Linked DNA regions of Saccharomyces cerevisiae S288C. The protein of the gene in region 1 purifies or fractionates together with the protein of each later gene. This does not show direct contact. Each region holds a gene or a part of one and is shown in the gene's direction. Other genes may lie near its edges.

Region 1 (3,643 bases):
TACCTTTTTTCTCTTTTAACGGGGTTTGGTATTTTTTTTCTTTACTTCATAAACGAATGTTAAACGACTGTGAAAAAGCCATCCCTGGATTATGCGAGAGTACTCTCAGGGCACCCGTCCGTTTAAAGACCCCAGGCCAAAATAAAAATTTCTTGAAGGAAAAAAATACACAGGGCCTTGAACTGAATACAAAGCCATCTTTTTTCTCGTTTGTCAGCACGTCCCAGAAAAACGCGCAGCCGTAGCTCTTGATAAGTGGCTTCTGCGTTTTGCAACGCTTTTCTGATCTCATGTTTTCTTATGCTGCGGGACATCATTGTCGTTGAGAAAAGTTTCAATTTCAAACGAACTGCCTACCGTTGCATTCTCCTTGGAGAAGGGCCTGAGTTTAGGGGAATCACGTCTGGCTATTACATGCTACATCGTGCAGTAGCTCCTACATCGCTAACAGGCAAATCCTACACCCTCTTTAAATCGTTTATCTTTTATATATTATCTGGCCTAAATTTTTACATATAAATATTTATCATATTATGACAGCTCAAATGAATTTCCGGCACCAAGTCATATGAGCACTCGCTACTGTTCGAAGAACAAAAAATATAAAGCTTCTACAAAATTTCCAGATGTCCATAGGTTACAAAGACAACTTGATGTCAACTATTCTAGCTAAAGATAGGAAATGTGAATTTCCCATCAATTTCGAATGTTCGCCCTCCCAGATAACTCTTATGCCTGAAATGTTCTCTTTTAACAATGAAAGGAAATACCAAACCCTGATACCCTTGATGAAAACATCACATCTAATTGATGATGACTTGAAAGATAAATTGAATAAGTGCGCTTTCGATTTTTTCTCCGGAAAACAAGCGAACAGAACGAGTGACGGGACTATTTCAAGATTAACAGCAAGTGGAAAAACGTCACCGATACTGCCATTGCAAAATATTAATATTGTAAAAGCAGAGAATACCGGTAACGGTAAATCAGATCCATATAGCTCAATTAAAATAAGCAAACCGACAAAAACCGTGATAAAATTGAAATCTACGAAAACCAATACAGCAGGACAGAGGACTCGTCATTTCTGTAAGATCTGCTCTACTGGGTTCACCACTTCTGGTCATCTTTCAAGACATAACAGAATCCATACAGGTGAAAAAAATCATATCTGTCCGCATGAGGGCTGTGGACAGAGGTTTAGTAGACATGATAACTGTAATCAGCATTATCGAACTCATGCAAACAAGAAGAAAAGAAACTGGAAGAGGAGGGAGGCTAGCAGTTGATGTGAGTGAGCTCAGCCAAAAACATTTAAATATTCAAATAACGTACAAATAAAAGACTGATAAATAGTAATAAAACTAAGCGGGTTAGTAATACTCACCAAGAACAATAGCAGGAACGATAGTCGGTTCTCTTTCGTAATTTTTTTAAGTCACAACCCGGAGGGACGTGAAGTTTCAAACCTTATTCATTCCGGGATTACCCTCTCCTGTGATGACGTTTAGGCAATAAGGACTAAAAAAAAAAAAAAGAAATGCTATGGCAAATTTTATTGATAGAAGTGGTAATGATGATGGAAGGGCTTTTGAGCAGGTGAATAGAAGGTAGCTAACGGAAAAGAGTTATTGCACCCTTAATATAATGAATGATGAAATTAATGAGCCACCGCCCAATATATGTGAGCAGTGCTTAGGTGATGAGGCTAATATACGAATGACTAAAATTCCACAAGGCTCTGAATGTAAGATTTGTACCTTACCGTTCACCTTATACCATTTTAAGACGTCTAAACGAAGCAATAATATCATTAAAACATTAATATGTGTACGGTGCGCCACTCAGAGAAACATTTGTCAATGCTGTATGCTTGATTCAAGATGGCACATCCCTATACAACTGCGGGATCATTTAATATCCCTTGTGAACGAGGAAAACGTTATGACGGAGGAAGCAAAAAACGACATGATGAAAAGGTTTCTGTCACTAAAAAACGTGAAATTAGGAGGAGCTCAGATTACGAGTGATCCGTCAGAAGCAGATAATATCGTTGATAAATTGAAAAATATACTTCTGCGAGCAACATCAGATGGCCCAAGTACTCCGTTAATAAAAAACACAACTGCATTGTATAAAAATGAAAAAGGTGCAAATGAGGTCAAAAACTTGGAAAAGTACGCGTCCGTGGACATTTCTCATATTTTGAAGAAACTACCCTTGAATGAATCGTTTTTAAAAAACCCCTCCACCAAATCATTTTTTCTGTATAATATTGATGCCTCGATCCCTGAATGGAAAATAACTGATACAGTTTCGCAATTATTGGGTATAAAGAAATGGAAGGATGGAAATTCATTGTCATTAATAGTCAACCACAAGGCGAAGTGTGGTGGCCTAAGATTTCAATCTAGTGAATTGGGGGAGCGGTTTGTCAGTAAAATAAGTGAGACACTTGTCACACCAAAGGGCCTAAAGAGAGGAGTTTTACTTATTGACCGTTTTAGAATCTTTATCATTCCGTGGTCGTCTGGCTTTTCAGCTGCGTCATTCGGAACCAACACTGCAGAAAATATAAAACTTAGTTTAAGTTTGAATAAGCTTATTCAGTTGGAGCTAGGGCTTTCTTTTCCTACAAAAAGCACAGATAACGCAAAGAATGACAAGAAAAAGACATCAAAAAAAGTTCATAAGGACAGATCAAAGAAATCGAAACCTCGCGCTAACAAGTTAACAATATAGATGAAACGTAAGAAAAATCATGGGTTGAAGAAACGAACTGTTTGATCAATTTCGACCATCCATCTACCTTGCAAGTAATAAACAAAAGCAGGTTGAGTGGGGAACTTTATCTAAGTTGATCAGTATATCTGACAAATTTATACGGAATGCTGCAGTTTGGATTAGCACGAACATTTTATCTGTACGGTTTGTCGCTTTTAGCTGCTCGGGCTCTTCCTCTCGGTTACCGAGATGATAACTCGGCCGAATTTTGTAAGTACAAATAAAAAGAAAGTGACACAATTCTAAAAGTATCACTATAATTTATTATTTTGAGAAAGATAAGGTTCCATAGGTACATGATATATTGACTGATTTCTGATAGCTCTTTTTTTTCCAATATCGATAAAAAACTAAAATATGGAGGAACTAGGTTTAAAAAGCACTTTTCCATATGAATATGGCTCAGACTTTACAATGATAAGAACGGAAATGTTAAATACTACGAAGAGCGAAACAACTATTTTATTTTCCAATATAAAGAGCATTTTGGCCATTATTTGGAAATACTCATTTACATTTTTAAGATCTTTTTCCGATTCCATCAAACTTATTATTGACGATGTTGTCACTATTGGCTCCCGAAATTTTGCAGAGAGATTACAGATTGAAGCGAAAAAAAACAATGACCAAGAAGATATCTGGGCATCCACAATAATTTTGGGTGTGATTATCGGGTATTTAATCTCTTCTATTAAGAGAAAGAACACTTTTCCAATAATGCCTACGAGCTCACCTAAAATAGATGATTGTAGGTTCAAGACTGGTGATACCATATCCATTGTAATAAACTTTAATGAAGACTGCCTCAATAATCGAAGTGACGTTACCGAAGAGAGAAATTATGAGGAATCCACAGTTT
Region 2 (4,287 bases), on another chromosome or scaffold:
TTTGTGTATCCTCTATCTTTCACTATTAAAAAATGTACGATTACCTTTTCTTTCTATCTTTTCATGAATTGGCCACGTCTCATGACGTTCTTACGAACTTTCCACACATGTTCCAATTTTTTCCTTCTTTCAAAAGTTGCGAACGGTATTTGTATATTATCATCCCATGTAATTGTGCGGGGGGATGGAAGAAAGTCACAAAAAGGAGTTTCCGTCTTATTTCTTACTATTATCCATTGAGCATCCTCAGGTTGTTTATCTAAAATCTGGGTATGGCAAGGTGGCACGTAAATGTTCATTATTTGCTGGGAGGTGTCAATAGAGTGTATCAGCCCCAGAGTTATGAAATTTTTAGAAGAAGAAGTACACGATTGTAGGATGGGAAAGGTATTCAAGGATTTCACCTCTAGTGAGTCTTCTCCAGAATATGTATATATCCCAATGACAGTACCTTCCAATGCGGACTTGATATCTTGAGGATTCAGATCCTGGAATTCCATAGGAAATTGAATGCCTTTAATACCGCTTTTACCTTTGCCATATGAAATTTGCAAAGGTGCAGATTTTAAAAGAGGCGCAAAATCATAATCAAATTGAGTTATTTTATGAAACAGTGCCAGTATTTTGAATGTTCTCAGTTGTGATGCATGGAACCTAGAAGATAAGGTGTGGTTCAGACTATGGGCTGGAACGCGAACAACTTCAGGTGCATATGCATCTCGTAGTGATGTGGAAAAACTCTGTGGAATTGTTAGTTCATCCAGGTGTCTTTTCGAATTAGCTGTTTCCAAAAACAATAAGTGAGTGGGCTTATATTTCCTTATTATATGATTTAAAATCTGCATCCCGAATCCTTTTATCCACCCAGGTAGATTAAGCAATGACGTTCCGAAGAAGGCTTGCTCTTCCAAATGGTCTATAAGTTTATCAGCGCAGTTCAGGTATGATGTGGGCTCGTCCTGCGGGGAAGAGGAGCCAGCGTAGAACTGTAACAAAGTTTGGAAATTTGAACCTTGGCAGAGATGTTGTCCGAGAGAAATAGGGCTGGAAAGAATCTTATTCAGGGATATTGAATCAGGTAGTGAGTATTCAGGTTGACCAGGATCTAAATCCAGGTATACCAATTCTTCCTGGCTCGTAGTAGAATCTCGTATATCTTGCGTAAATTTTTCCAATAAAAGCCTCAAGAATGTAGACTTCCCAGAGTTTTTACCACCAATCACCATGATTCTTGTATCATACGCAGCGTTCTTGTGACTCAAATATAACTTCTCTAACGGAGTTGACCAATATCCCGGCACGGATAAAGATTGAATTCGGTCTGACTCATGTAATAAATGATACGTTGTTCTCTCGTTTAATGGAAAGTAAGGTTCTTTAGGTTTCCATAGATAATTAACATCCCGATATAAATGACCTGCTTCTAACAAGCCCGTATGATTAGAATTAAAAACGCGAAGAACACATGGAAATGATTTGAATTCTTCATCTCTAATTTTAAACCTGTTGTTTCTCGGCATAAAAAAAGTGTCTTGCCAGCCTGCAAAGTGCGAAAAATCTATAGTAGGTATGGACTGTGATAACGGGTGCCAGAAGGTTAAAATTTCTCTCGAAGCGTTATAGTGTACATTGTTGTAGACAATACCTCCTTTCACCACTTGCAGCCGGAAAACACCAGATAAATGTAACTTCTGTTTTTCTTTCAACCCCACAAACATAGTTTCATCTTCATCTCCTTCATACGTTATATTATCGATCAATTCAGCATCCAGCCCGTTCAAGTCATCACCTTCGTCGTCCTCATACTCTTCACTATTGAGAACTACGGTTGCACTTTTTGAAGATGGAATTGACGGAGATTCCACAATGAAATTATTACTTGAGTCTGAGTCCGATTCTGAACCTGAATCTTTGGTATATTGAGGTAGATCCTGTTTGGAATCTATCACCATAGCGGTAGAATATAATAGAAATGATTATCTTCTTCTCTCTGCCAAACTAAACTGCAGTCTTTCCTTATTTCAGAAGGGAAAGATCAGGAGTGGGGAACCTATACTACCTGCACTATAAGCGTGAATTAAGACAACTTAAATGCAACCTAAGCCTTAGGCGCAGAGCACTCGATGACTTGGCAGGAATAAATTTCATGTTGATAAATTTCGTACTTTTTCGGGTAGCAGCGGTGAAAAATTCGTAAGGGCAATTTTAGAAAGATGCAAACTTTCCAAGAAATATTAAAGACCAAAACATAGCCAAGAAAGCCAACTAGGGAACAATGCTTTGTGCTATTAGTGGGAAAGTTCCTAGAAGGCCAGTTCTATCACCTAAATCCAGGACTATTTTTGAAAAGTCGCTCCTTGAACAGTATGTTAAAGATACGGGGAATGATCCGATAACAAATGAGCCCTTAAGCATCGAAGAAATAGTGGAAATCGTACCTAGTGCGCAACAAGCCTCACTAACAGAGTCTACAAACTCTGCTACGTTAAAAGCGAATTATTCGATTCCGAATCTGTTGACAAGTTTACAGAATGAATGGGATGCTATAATGCTCGAAAACTTTAAGTTACGATCAACTCTAGATAGTTTAACGAAAAAACTGTCGACTGTAATGTACGAAAGAGATGCTGCAAAGTTGGTCGCTGCGCAACTATTGATGGAAAAAAACGAAGATTCGAAGGATTTACCCAAATCCTCACAGCAAGCGGTAGCTATTACGAGAGAAGAATTTTTACAAGGGCTGTTACAATCTTCTAGAGACTTTGTAGCGAGGGGCAAGCTCAAAGCACCCAAATGGCCGATTTTAAAAAATTTGGAGCTATTACAGGCACAAAATTACTCCCGTAACATCAAAACATTCCCATATAAAGAGCTTAACAAATCTATGTACTATGATAAATGGGTGTGCATGTGTCGCTGTGAGGATGGTGCTTTACATTTTACCCAATTAAAAGATTCGAAAACGATTACCACAATAACTACACCAAATCCCCGTACCGGGGGAGAGCATCCAGCTATTATTTCCAGAGGGCCTTGTAATCGTTTGCTACTACTATATCCAGGTAACCAAATAACTATATTGGACTCAAAAACAAACAAAGTCCTCAGAGAAATAGAGGTAGATTCCGCCAATGAGATTATATATATGTATGGTCACAACGAGGTCAACACAGAGTACTTCATCTGGGCGGATAATAGAGGAACCATAGGATTTCAATCCTACGAGGATGATTCCCAGTATATTGTTCATTCTGCTAAATCAGATGTTGAGTACAGCAGCGGTGTCCTACATAAGGATTCATTATTATTAGCCCTTTACTCTCCGGACGGTATATTAGACGTTTACAACTTGTCATCACCTGACCAGGCAAGCTCTAGATTCCCCGTAGATGAAGAAGCCAAGATAAAAGAGGTTAAATTTGCAGACAATGGGTACTGGATGGTAGTAGAGTGTGACCAAACTGTGGTTTGCTTTGACCTAAGAAAGGATGTCGGCACGCTAGCGTATCCAACTTACACAATCCCAGAATTCAAGACGGGCACCGTTACCTATGACATTGACGACTCTGGAAAGAATATGATTGCATACTCAAACGAGAGCAATTCGCTGACGATATACAAATTTGACAAGAAAACAAAAAATTGGACTAAAGACGAGGAGAGCGCCCTCTGTTTGCAAAGCGACACTGCCGATTTCACTGATATGGACGTGGTATGCGGAGATGGTGGTATTGCCGCTATTCTGAAGACAAATGATAGTTTCAATATTGTTGCATTGACACCCTAAATACGCTGACACGTTTGTACTTTCTAAATAAACCTGTGTAATAGTAGTAACATTTCCAGTAAAAATTTCATTTCCTTCTCTTTTTACATCTCTAGGACAACGCTTTAGTGAGAAAAAAAAAAAAAGAAAAAAGAATGAGAAAACGAAAATTGAGGTTATGTGTTGAATAAGCCTAGAAAGCATAAAGGTGTCAAAGAACGAGTACACATATAGTGAGGGGGTCGTGATGCCTTTGTTAGATACCTTCAAGAGTTTTATTCAATCACCGACGGAATCAAAGGTGAAACAGGCTACCAACGAGGACGAAACAAGTGGAGCAACGGGGACGCTTATGAACGAAATATCAATCTTGACCTACAGCCCCAAGACAGTACGAGAAATCATCCAGGTAATCCGGAAGCGATTGCTACTTGGGCAGAACAGAAGAAATTCTCATCGAAATTGTATCCAGGTGATGAAGACGCTGACTTTGGTCTCATATCTGATGAATAACGGGTCCA
Region 3 (4,972 bases), on another chromosome or scaffold:
CGCCACTTCTACATCAAGTAAAAGAAATGTTGGTGATCATATAGTTCCATCTTTACCCCTCACATTAATTTCTCTTCTTTTTGCATTCATCTGAAAACCGTTGCACAAAGTTTAGACATTCACATCTCCAAGCCAGTTGGAGTTTCTGGCGGAAATCGTTGCTCTCGCTTGGGCAAAGTTTTTTTTTATTATTAATTTTTTATTGTTACGTTGGCGGTCTTCATTTTTACTTCACAATAGTTTATCTTACCCACTAAGAATAGGTTACCATTTATTCACATTTTTTTTTCTCATTCCTAGTATACTATTTACCTGGGATATGGCCTATAATCAAAGGCTTTAATATTCTAATAATTCGTTTGGCATCTAGAATAATCTATAAAGTATAGTCTATATACGTACATATTGATAATGGCGGTAGCTGCTGAACTAGTATTTCAAATTACCTTGTTTATCCCAGGTCGCCAGTTTCTCTCTCCTCAAGTGATATTGTGTTCGTATGTCCAGATAATTTTTGATGAACTGATCCAGGTCATCGGCTGAGTCAATGGACCTTGTGGTAGTTTCTAGCTGTGAACTCTCCTCATCAAGTTTCTTTGTGTTTTGTTCTAATTTCTTTTTTAATGCTATGTCACCATATTTTTTTGAAAATTCGGAATGGTAATCTTGCCAGCTAGCTACATATTTGGATTCTAAAATCCTACAGTTTTCTAATAAGGCTTGGACCTTATCTTTTTGCTCATGTAAATCTTCAAAATTTTCTTCCAATTGTTTAAATTGATCTCTGAATGCATGAATCTTTCCAGCAAAGTCCGTTAAGGGATTGAATTTTGTGACGTATAACTCTAATTGGTGTCTGTGGGTTTGAATTAGATCGATTATCTCCTTTGATGATAAAAGGTTAATTCCTTCAGGTAAGGGAATATTTTTGCTTTTTTCGTTTACTTTTTCTGGTAAACCCGGAGATGGTACCACATCCATTTCTGCTCTGATAATATCTAATCTGCTTATATTGAGCCCCTTATTTTTCCTTCGTTGTTTTATCCTTAGTTTTGTAGCCTTTACTTTCATATTTCCTTCTTTTCAGAACGCCTATTCTAGGGAAAAATGGCTTCTGTATGAAATAAAAATGTTAGCAAAAGAGAACGAAAATAAGAACACATACACTATATTTGCCCATTTGAGCGCTATCGAATATGAATGGACTTAGAGTTGCAGCAAAAATTCAGCCAGCACGCCAAACTATCATATTCTTGCATGGATTAGGTGATACAGGTTCGGGATGGGGATTTTTAGCTCAGTATTTACAACAGAGAGACCCTGCCGCTTTCCAGCATACTAATTTTGTTTTTCCTAATGCTCCAGAGCTTCATGTGACAGCAAACGGCGGTGCATTGATGCCTGCTTGGTTTGACATCTTGGAATGGGATCCTAGTTTTTCCAAAGTTGACAGTGACGGTTTTATGAATTCTTTGAATTCCATAGAAAAGACGGTTAAGCAAGAAATTGATAAAGGAATTAAACCGGAGCAGATTATTATCGGAGGTTTCTCTCAGGGTGCCGCATTAGCTCTCGCAACATCAGTTACTTTACCATGGAAAATCGGTGGTATAGTAGCTCTGTCGGGATTTTGTTCCATCCCAGGAATTCTGAAACAACATAAGAATGGCATTAATGTAAAGACACCAATTTTTCATGGGCATGGTGACATGGATCCAGTAGTTCCTATTGGACTAGGTATAAAGGCAAAACAGTTCTATCAAGATAGCTGTGAGATACAAAATTATGAATTTAAAGTATACAAAGGTATGGCCCATTCTACAGTTCCAGATGAATTAGAAGACTTGGCTTCATTTATCAAGAAGAGCTTATCATCATAGCTCTTTTCCTAATATTGCGAGTTCAATTTAACCGCTATTATACTTGGTTAAATAATTTATATACATCCGTAAGACGCGATAGAAAATTAAAAACCTTGGTGCCAAATAGTTGGGGTGATGAGACTCATTGATTATGCAAGTTCATAATAGATAGACAAACTTGAGCTAAAAGTACTCTACTATTGCCAGCATGGACACTTTAGAGCCAACAGCCGTTGATACGCATGTTTCTGCGGAGCAGATTCTGCGGGATGTGTACAAGAAGGGGCAAAAAGCAAGAGGATCGACTAATATTGATATATTAGACTTGGAGGAACTTCGAGAGTATCAACGAAGGAAGAGAACAGAATATGAGGGTTATTTGAAGAGAAACCGACTGGATATGGGACAATGGATTCGTTATGCGCAATTCGAAATCGAACAACACGACATGAGGCGCGCCAGATCTATCTTTGAAAGAGCATTATTAGTAGATAGTTCATTCATCCCCCTTTGGATACGATACATTGATGCTGAGCTGAAAGTCAAATGTATTAACCATGCTAGGAATCTTATGAACAGAGCTATTAGTACGTTGCCCAGAGTAGACAAGTTATGGTACAAGTATCTCATTGTCGAAGAGTCGTTAAACAACGTTGAAATTGTACGATCACTGTACACCAAATGGTGCTCCTTGGAGCCAGGGGTTAATGCATGGAATTCTTTCGTGGATTTTGAAATAAGACAGAAAAACTGGAACGGTGTAAGAGAGATTTACTCAAAATACGTCATGGCTCACCCGCAAATGCAGACATGGCTAAAGTGGGTGAGGTTTGAAAATAGACATGGTAATACTGAATTTACGAGAAGTGTGTATTCTTTAGCGATAGACACAGTAGCTAACCTCCAAAATTTACAGATTTGGTCTGATATGGAGGTTGCAAAATTAGTAAATTCATTTGCTCATTGGGAAGCTGCGCAGCAAGAATACGAAAGATCTAGTGCTCTTTATCAAATTGCTATAGAAAAATGGCCCTCCAATCAATTGCTCAAGGCAGGACTGTTGGATTTTGAAAAGCAGTTTGGTGACATAAACTCAATAGAAGAAACTATTAGCTATAAAAGGAAAATGGAGTATGAAACAATATTGAGTAATAACGCCTATGATTATGACACCTGGTGGCTGTACTTGGATCTCATTTCAGAAAGTTTCCCCAAACAAATAATGCAAACTTTCGAGAAAGCTATTGTGGACAGCCGACCAAAAGAACTATCAAAAAATGTTCAGTGGAAAAGGTATATTTATCTGTGGATGAGATATATATGCTATGTTGAGTTAGAATTGGAAAATTCGCTTTTAGAAGAAGAACTTTTTCAGAGGTTAATTGACGACATCATCCCTCATAAACATTTCACTTTTTCCAAAATATGGCTAATGTATGCTAAATTTCTGATACGACATGATGATGTACCGAAGGCGAGAAAAATTTTGGGTAAAGCAATCGGTTTATGTCCTAAGGCTAAAACTTTCAAAGGATATATCGAGTTGGAAGTGAAGTTGAAGGAATTTGATCGTGTGAGAAAAATATATGAGAAATTTATTGAATTTCAGCCCTCTGATCTACAAATTTGGTCACAATATGGAGAACTAGAAGAAAATTTAGGAGATTGGGATAGAGTAAGAGGTATATATACAATTGCACTAGATGAAAATTCTGATTTCTTAACAAAGGAGGCTAAAATTGTATTACTTCAAAAATACATAACATTTGAGACAGAATCACAAGAATTTGAAAAGGCAAGGAAGCTTTATAGAAGATATTTGGAGCTCAACCAATATTCCCCCCAAAGCTGGATCGAATTCGCCATGTATCAAACTTCAACCCCGACGGAGCAACAACTATTAGATTTAGCAAAACTGCAAAGCGAAAATGTGGATGAAGACATAGAGTTTGAAATTACCGATGAGAATAAATTGGAGGCAAGAAAAGTTTTTGAAGAGGCGATAGTTTTTTTCAAGGAGAAGGATGATAAACAAGGGAGACTGTCTATTTTGGAAGCGCTAAAAGACTATGAAGAAACTTACGGTACTGAACTCGATCAAGAAACCGTCAAGAAAAGATTCCCTAAAGTAATCAAAAAAGTGAGGTTACAGAACGGTGTGGAAGAAGAATTCGTGGATTACATTTTTCCTGATGATATCGATGATGACAAGCCAAAACCATCAAAGTTCTTGGAACTAGCCAAAAAATGGAAACAGGAACAGGCACTTTGAATAAAGGTAAGGGTATCGTGAAATAATATTTTTGTCATTGTAGTTCAGGCCGTAGAAACTAAACAGTAGTAGAATAAGCTAGTAAGTAAATTAAATATCAAAAGTTAATAATAACCAGGAAGGCAAAAAACCAACAAAAAAAGGAACTATGCAAAATAGAGACTACATACCTTCAACACAAATAAAAAAAAATGCAGATATTGTATAATGGGAGTGTATTATAATCCGGGAGGCCCTTGCAGTCCCGGAGGTGTAGGTTTGTTAATGTCATTGCCCATGTTATTAGAAAACCCTGGAGGACCGCTTAGGCCAGGAGGAGGTGCAATTGAGGATTGTACCGTAGTCATACCGGGAGGTGGAGGTAGCGAAAATTTCGGTTGTTCCGACTCTGGAGGGCTTTGTAATGGGGGAGGGGCGATTCCTGGAACTCCGGAACTAAAGCTACTTGATGTTAGGCCGGGAGGGGGTGTAGGCGTCACGTTTTGAGCTTGCCTCGAAATATGTGACGCAGGAGGTGAAGGTGATGGTGCATAACGTGAAGAAGCCGGAAATTTTAAAGGAGGTTCCGTCGAGTTATTGTCATAACGAGATCTTTTTGGTGCTTGAATTGGATGAGTATTGCTATTATAGTGTACGTCATTGCTCTGTATTGGCGCAGAATTATTTACCGTGGCGTTTCTGTCAAAACGGCTCATTCTTTGAGACGATGAGTTACAGTCTCTACTGAAATGTCCAGTTTGTCCACATATTTTGCAAACAATGCCCTGTATATTTGGGATTTTTCTGTTTGGACAATCGTACCTTTTATGATCTTTTAAACCACAGATTGGACAGGGCC
Region 4 (3,783 bases), on another chromosome or scaffold:
CACTTTTTTTTCAAAATTGATTGTTTTATTGCTTGCGTATCAACCCCTGATTGTTTAAGACGCTTCAGCAATCGCCTTTCTAATTTACTTTTAAACTGAGTCCCTCCACTGCGCTGTCTGCACAAAATTTTCTGAGTCTGATCTAAAACCACTGAACCGTAAGGCTGTAAAAAAGGGTGGCGTAAAACTTGTGACAACGATGGGCGCTCTCCCGGATTTTTAGCCAATAATCGTGAGATCAAATCCCTAGCATCGTCCGGAATAACTTTAGCATCGTATTTCGGTTCTTCATTGACGATTTTCCATTTCGTTTTAGCCTCATCGTCATCATCAAATGGCAAATATCCCGTAATTAATGTGTATAGTATCACTCCCAATGACCATATATCAATCTTGAATCCATCATAAGTCCTTCTTTCTATCAATTCAGGTGCCATATAAACTGTGGTACCGCAAACCGTTTCTAATGTCGTCTTTGTCATACATTCTCTCGTAAAACCAAAATCCGTCAATTTTGCATTTCCATTTTTGTCTAATAAAATATTCTCTAACTTCAAATCTCTATGAACACAATGCATTGAGTGTGCATAGTAAACAGCACCTGAAATTTGTGCAAACAACTCTCCGCATTCCAATAACGATATTCTACGCAGAGAAAGTAAGTGGTCATATAATTCCTTCCCTGGGCAATATTCTAATGCCATCCACACTTTTGATTCTGTCACTATCACTTCATAAAGCTTTGTAATATAAGGAAAATCGAACTGTCTATGGTAAAATACCTCTCTAACGATATTGGGATCATTCTTATCACTCGTCTTTAGGCAGACTTTACGATGTGTTGGTCTATGGAGCGCTAAATATACTTTTCCAAAACTTCCTTCACCTATTTGTTTTAAAATCTTGTAGTTTCCCACTTCTGTCAACTCATCAGAAGTAAATTGGCTGTATAGTCGATTGTACGATGATCCTATAATGCTTTTTATATTGTTTTGTTCCAATTTCGAGGATCCAACAGGATTAACCATGGTGAGCAGTATATTCACCTATATGTGGGTCTTTTATTGTCTCTTGGCAACGGATAAGGAGAACTTGCTTCCACTACACAGTGACTAGTTATTAATGAAAAACGAAACAAAATTTATTGATACAAAAAATAGTATTCGGATAACGAAACTCTTGTTGACTTCAAAATACAGGTATTGGAATTTTCGTAATGATTCGGAATGATATGAGGGAAAAAACGTTACTTTATTTAATTCATACAAGATATTTATTGTATACCGTTATTGATAAGTGTTCTGTTGTCAAGATTGGGAGGGTCCACGCGGTCAACATTGTTAAGATAAGCCGAAAATCACCACACAAATCCACGATGACCTAAGAACATTCGTTCGCTTAAATCACCTATAGTCACAATAAAGTAGCATTCAATGTGACAAGAGGAGCTATCTACTTTCAGAGAATTACTCCTCATCTCGTATTCCTATTTCGAGTTCAACAACTCTTTTATTAAGTAAGGGTGCTCAAAATTCTTCATCATCTAATACGGAAAAGCTACAATTTTGGCAATAAAAGATTATTCAAGATGTGAAGCTAACAGTAATTATTACCCACTTCATTGCATCTTAAAACCATTTCCGAGGATGCAGACACTGTGTTACATGGAGATTAGTGAGAATGGACGGAAATGATCACAAAGTCGAAAATTTAGGAGATGTAGACAAATTTTATTCCAGAATACGCTGGAATAACCAATTTTCATATATGGCCACTCTGCCGCCCCACCTACAAAGCGAAATGGAAGGTCAGAAATCATTGCTAATGCGATATGATACTTATAGGAAGGAAAGTTCTTCTTTTAGTGGTGAAGGCAAGAAAGTTACTCTGCAGCATGTTCCTACAGATTTTTCAGAAGCATCACAAGCAGTGATTAGCAAGAAAGATCACGATACGCATGCATCTGCTTTTGTGAATAAAATTTTCCAACCAGAGGTTGCTGAAGAACTTATAGTTAATCGATACGAAAAACTTCTGTCACAAAGGCCGGAATGGCATGCACCCTGGAAACTTTCACGCGTTATCAATGGCCATCTTGGATGGGTACGATGCGTTGCAATCGATCCTGTTGACAACGAATGGTTCATCACCGGAAGTAATGATACGACAATGAAAGTTTGGGATCTTGCAACAGGAAAATTAAAAACTACCTTAGCAGGGCATGTAATGACAGTGAGAGACGTTGCTGTGTCAGATCGACATCCTTATTTATTTTCTGTTAGTGAAGATAAGACGGTCAAATGCTGGGACCTAGAGAAAAACCAAATTATTAGAGATTACTATGGACATTTATCGGGGGTTCGTACGGTGAGCATACATCCAACGCTGGATCTCATAGCTACCGCAGGCCGAGATAGCGTTATCAAACTCTGGGATATGAGAACCAGAATACCTGTTATTACACTAGTTGGGCATAAGGGTCCAATCAATCAAGTACAGTGTACTCCAGTAGACCCTCAAGTGGTGAGTTCATCGACTGATGCTACGGTAAGGTTATGGGATGTAGTTGCTGGGAAAACAATGAAAGTTCTAACACATCATAAGAGGTCTGTGAGAGCTACAGCGTTGCATCCTAAGGAGTTTTCGGTGGCTTCTGCGTGTACTGATGACATCAGATCATGGGGATTAGCAGAGGGGTCTTTACTCACCAATTTTGAGTCTGAAAAGACAGGCATAATCAATACTTTAAGCATTAATCAAGATGATGTATTATTCGCTGGCGGTGACAATGGTGTGCTTTCCTTTTATGATTATAAGTCTGGTCACAAATACCAATCGTTGGCCACGAGAGAAATGGTAGGCTCTCTGGAAGGTGAACGGAGTGTTCTTTGTAGCACTTTCGATAAAACAGGTTTAAGATTAATCACTGGAGAAGCAGACAAAAGCATAAAGATTTGGAAACAGGATGAGACGGCTACAAAAGAGTCAGAACCGGGGCTAGCGTGGAACCCCAACTTAAGCGCCAAAAGATTTTAGTGGGAGTAGATGGAAAAAGTACGTACCCTGTATACGTGTATATACAATGAGATAGCATCTATAAATGGACTTTTCCTAATCAAAAGGTATTGGTTTATGATGTTTTTTATTCATCTCAGTAGCCGCAATAGCGCTCGGTAACTTTATACCACAGCAGTCTCCCCAAGTAGTATGAACATGTCCTTCAAAATTGCACTCATCATCCTTATCAGTCCCATCATGTATGTGGCCTCTTGGTGGAGATACACCATCCGGACAAGGCAAAAACTCGCTAAAGTAAAAATGTTGCATGATGGGCAATTTACTAAGGACTTCGGCTTTATACATTTTTATCATCCCTTCAGCAACTTTTGACCAAGTCTTTACACCGCTGATGTCATCTAGCATAGGAGAATGCCATCTCAAGGAGGCGGATGACTTGACCTTATTAATAAAAGCGATACAACCAAAATATAAGTACCGATGAGCGAACATTTCTACGAGCTCATTATTGTGAATTGATATCGGCTTTAAGTGCTTGTGGGTGGTTAATTGGAAGGCACCAAATAGAAATGGAAGGAAATGATAATCATCTAATCCCCAAACACCATGAGAGCCCGCAGGCTCAAGCCAATATTTAGTTTCTAGTATCCTCATTATTTTAAGGTATTCTATAAAAACTTTCAGCACGAGGTTAGTTGAATCGTTTGAAAGATTGAATATTCCATAACTATAGAGTCCATAAAGTAAACACATGAAATTTAATTC

Evidence for each region.
Region 2: the proteins of ECM2 (region 1) and PRP19 purify together in Saccharomyces cerevisiae (affinity purification with mass spectrometry; 5 studies listed by BioGRID, with this or other methods). This does not show direct contact.
Region 3: the proteins of ECM2 (region 1) and CLF1 purify together in Saccharomyces cerevisiae (affinity purification with mass spectrometry; 4 studies listed by BioGRID). This does not show direct contact.
Region 4: the proteins of ECM2 (region 1) and PRP46 purify together in Saccharomyces cerevisiae (affinity purification with mass spectrometry; 4 studies listed by BioGRID). This does not show direct contact.

Annotation. Positions count from the first base shown.
Region 1 is NC_001134.8:367,683-371,325, reverse strand, and holds ECM2 (Pre-mRNA-splicing factor ECM2), read left to right. Parts: upstream 1-1,647; coding exon 1,648-2,742; downstream 2,743-3,643. Other genes in the region: NRG2 (Nrg2p), read left to right, coding at 627-1,289; CNM1 (Cnm1p), read left to right, coding at 3,142-3,643. UniProt on the Saccharomyces cerevisiae protein: Involved in pre-mRNA splicing. Facilitates the cooperative formation of U2/U6 helix II in association with stem II in the spliceosome. Binds to RNA.
Region 2 is NC_001144.5:66,245-70,531, reverse strand, and holds PRP19 (E3 ubiquitin-protein ligase PRP19), read left to right. Parts: upstream 1-2,275; coding exon 2,276-3,787; downstream 3,788-4,287. Other genes in the region: GRC3 (polynucleotide 5'-hydroxyl-kinase), read right to left, coding at 54-1,952; ENT4 (Ent4p), read left to right, coding at 4,014-4,287. UniProt on the Saccharomyces cerevisiae protein: Probable ubiquitin-protein ligase involved in pre-mRNA splicing.
Region 3 is NC_001144.5:381,633-386,604, reverse strand, and holds CLF1 (Clf1p), read left to right. Parts: upstream 1-2,070; coding exon 2,071-4,134; downstream 4,135-4,972. Other genes in the region: YPS1 (aspartyl protease), read left to right, coding at 1-94; ESCRT-I subunit protein SRN2, read right to left, coding at 430-1,071; TML25 (palmitoyl-(protein) hydrolase), read left to right, coding at 1,197-1,880; mRNA splicing protein MSL5, read right to left, coding at 4,353-4,972. UniProt on the Saccharomyces cerevisiae protein: Involved in pre-mRNA splicing and cell cycle progression. Required for the spliceosome assembly by promoting the functional integration of the U4/U6.U5 tri-snRNP particle into the U1-, U2-dependent pre-spliceosome.
Region 4 is NC_001148.4:265,433-269,215, reverse strand, and holds PRP46 (mRNA splicing protein PRP46), read left to right. Parts: upstream 1-1,680; coding exon 1,681-3,036; downstream 3,037-3,783. Other genes in the region: YPL150W (non-specific serine/threonine protein kinase), read right to left, coding at 1-1,028; peptidylprolyl isomerase RRD2, read right to left, coding at 3,112-3,783. UniProt on the Saccharomyces cerevisiae protein: Involved in pre-mRNA splicing. May also be required for cell cycle progression at G2/M.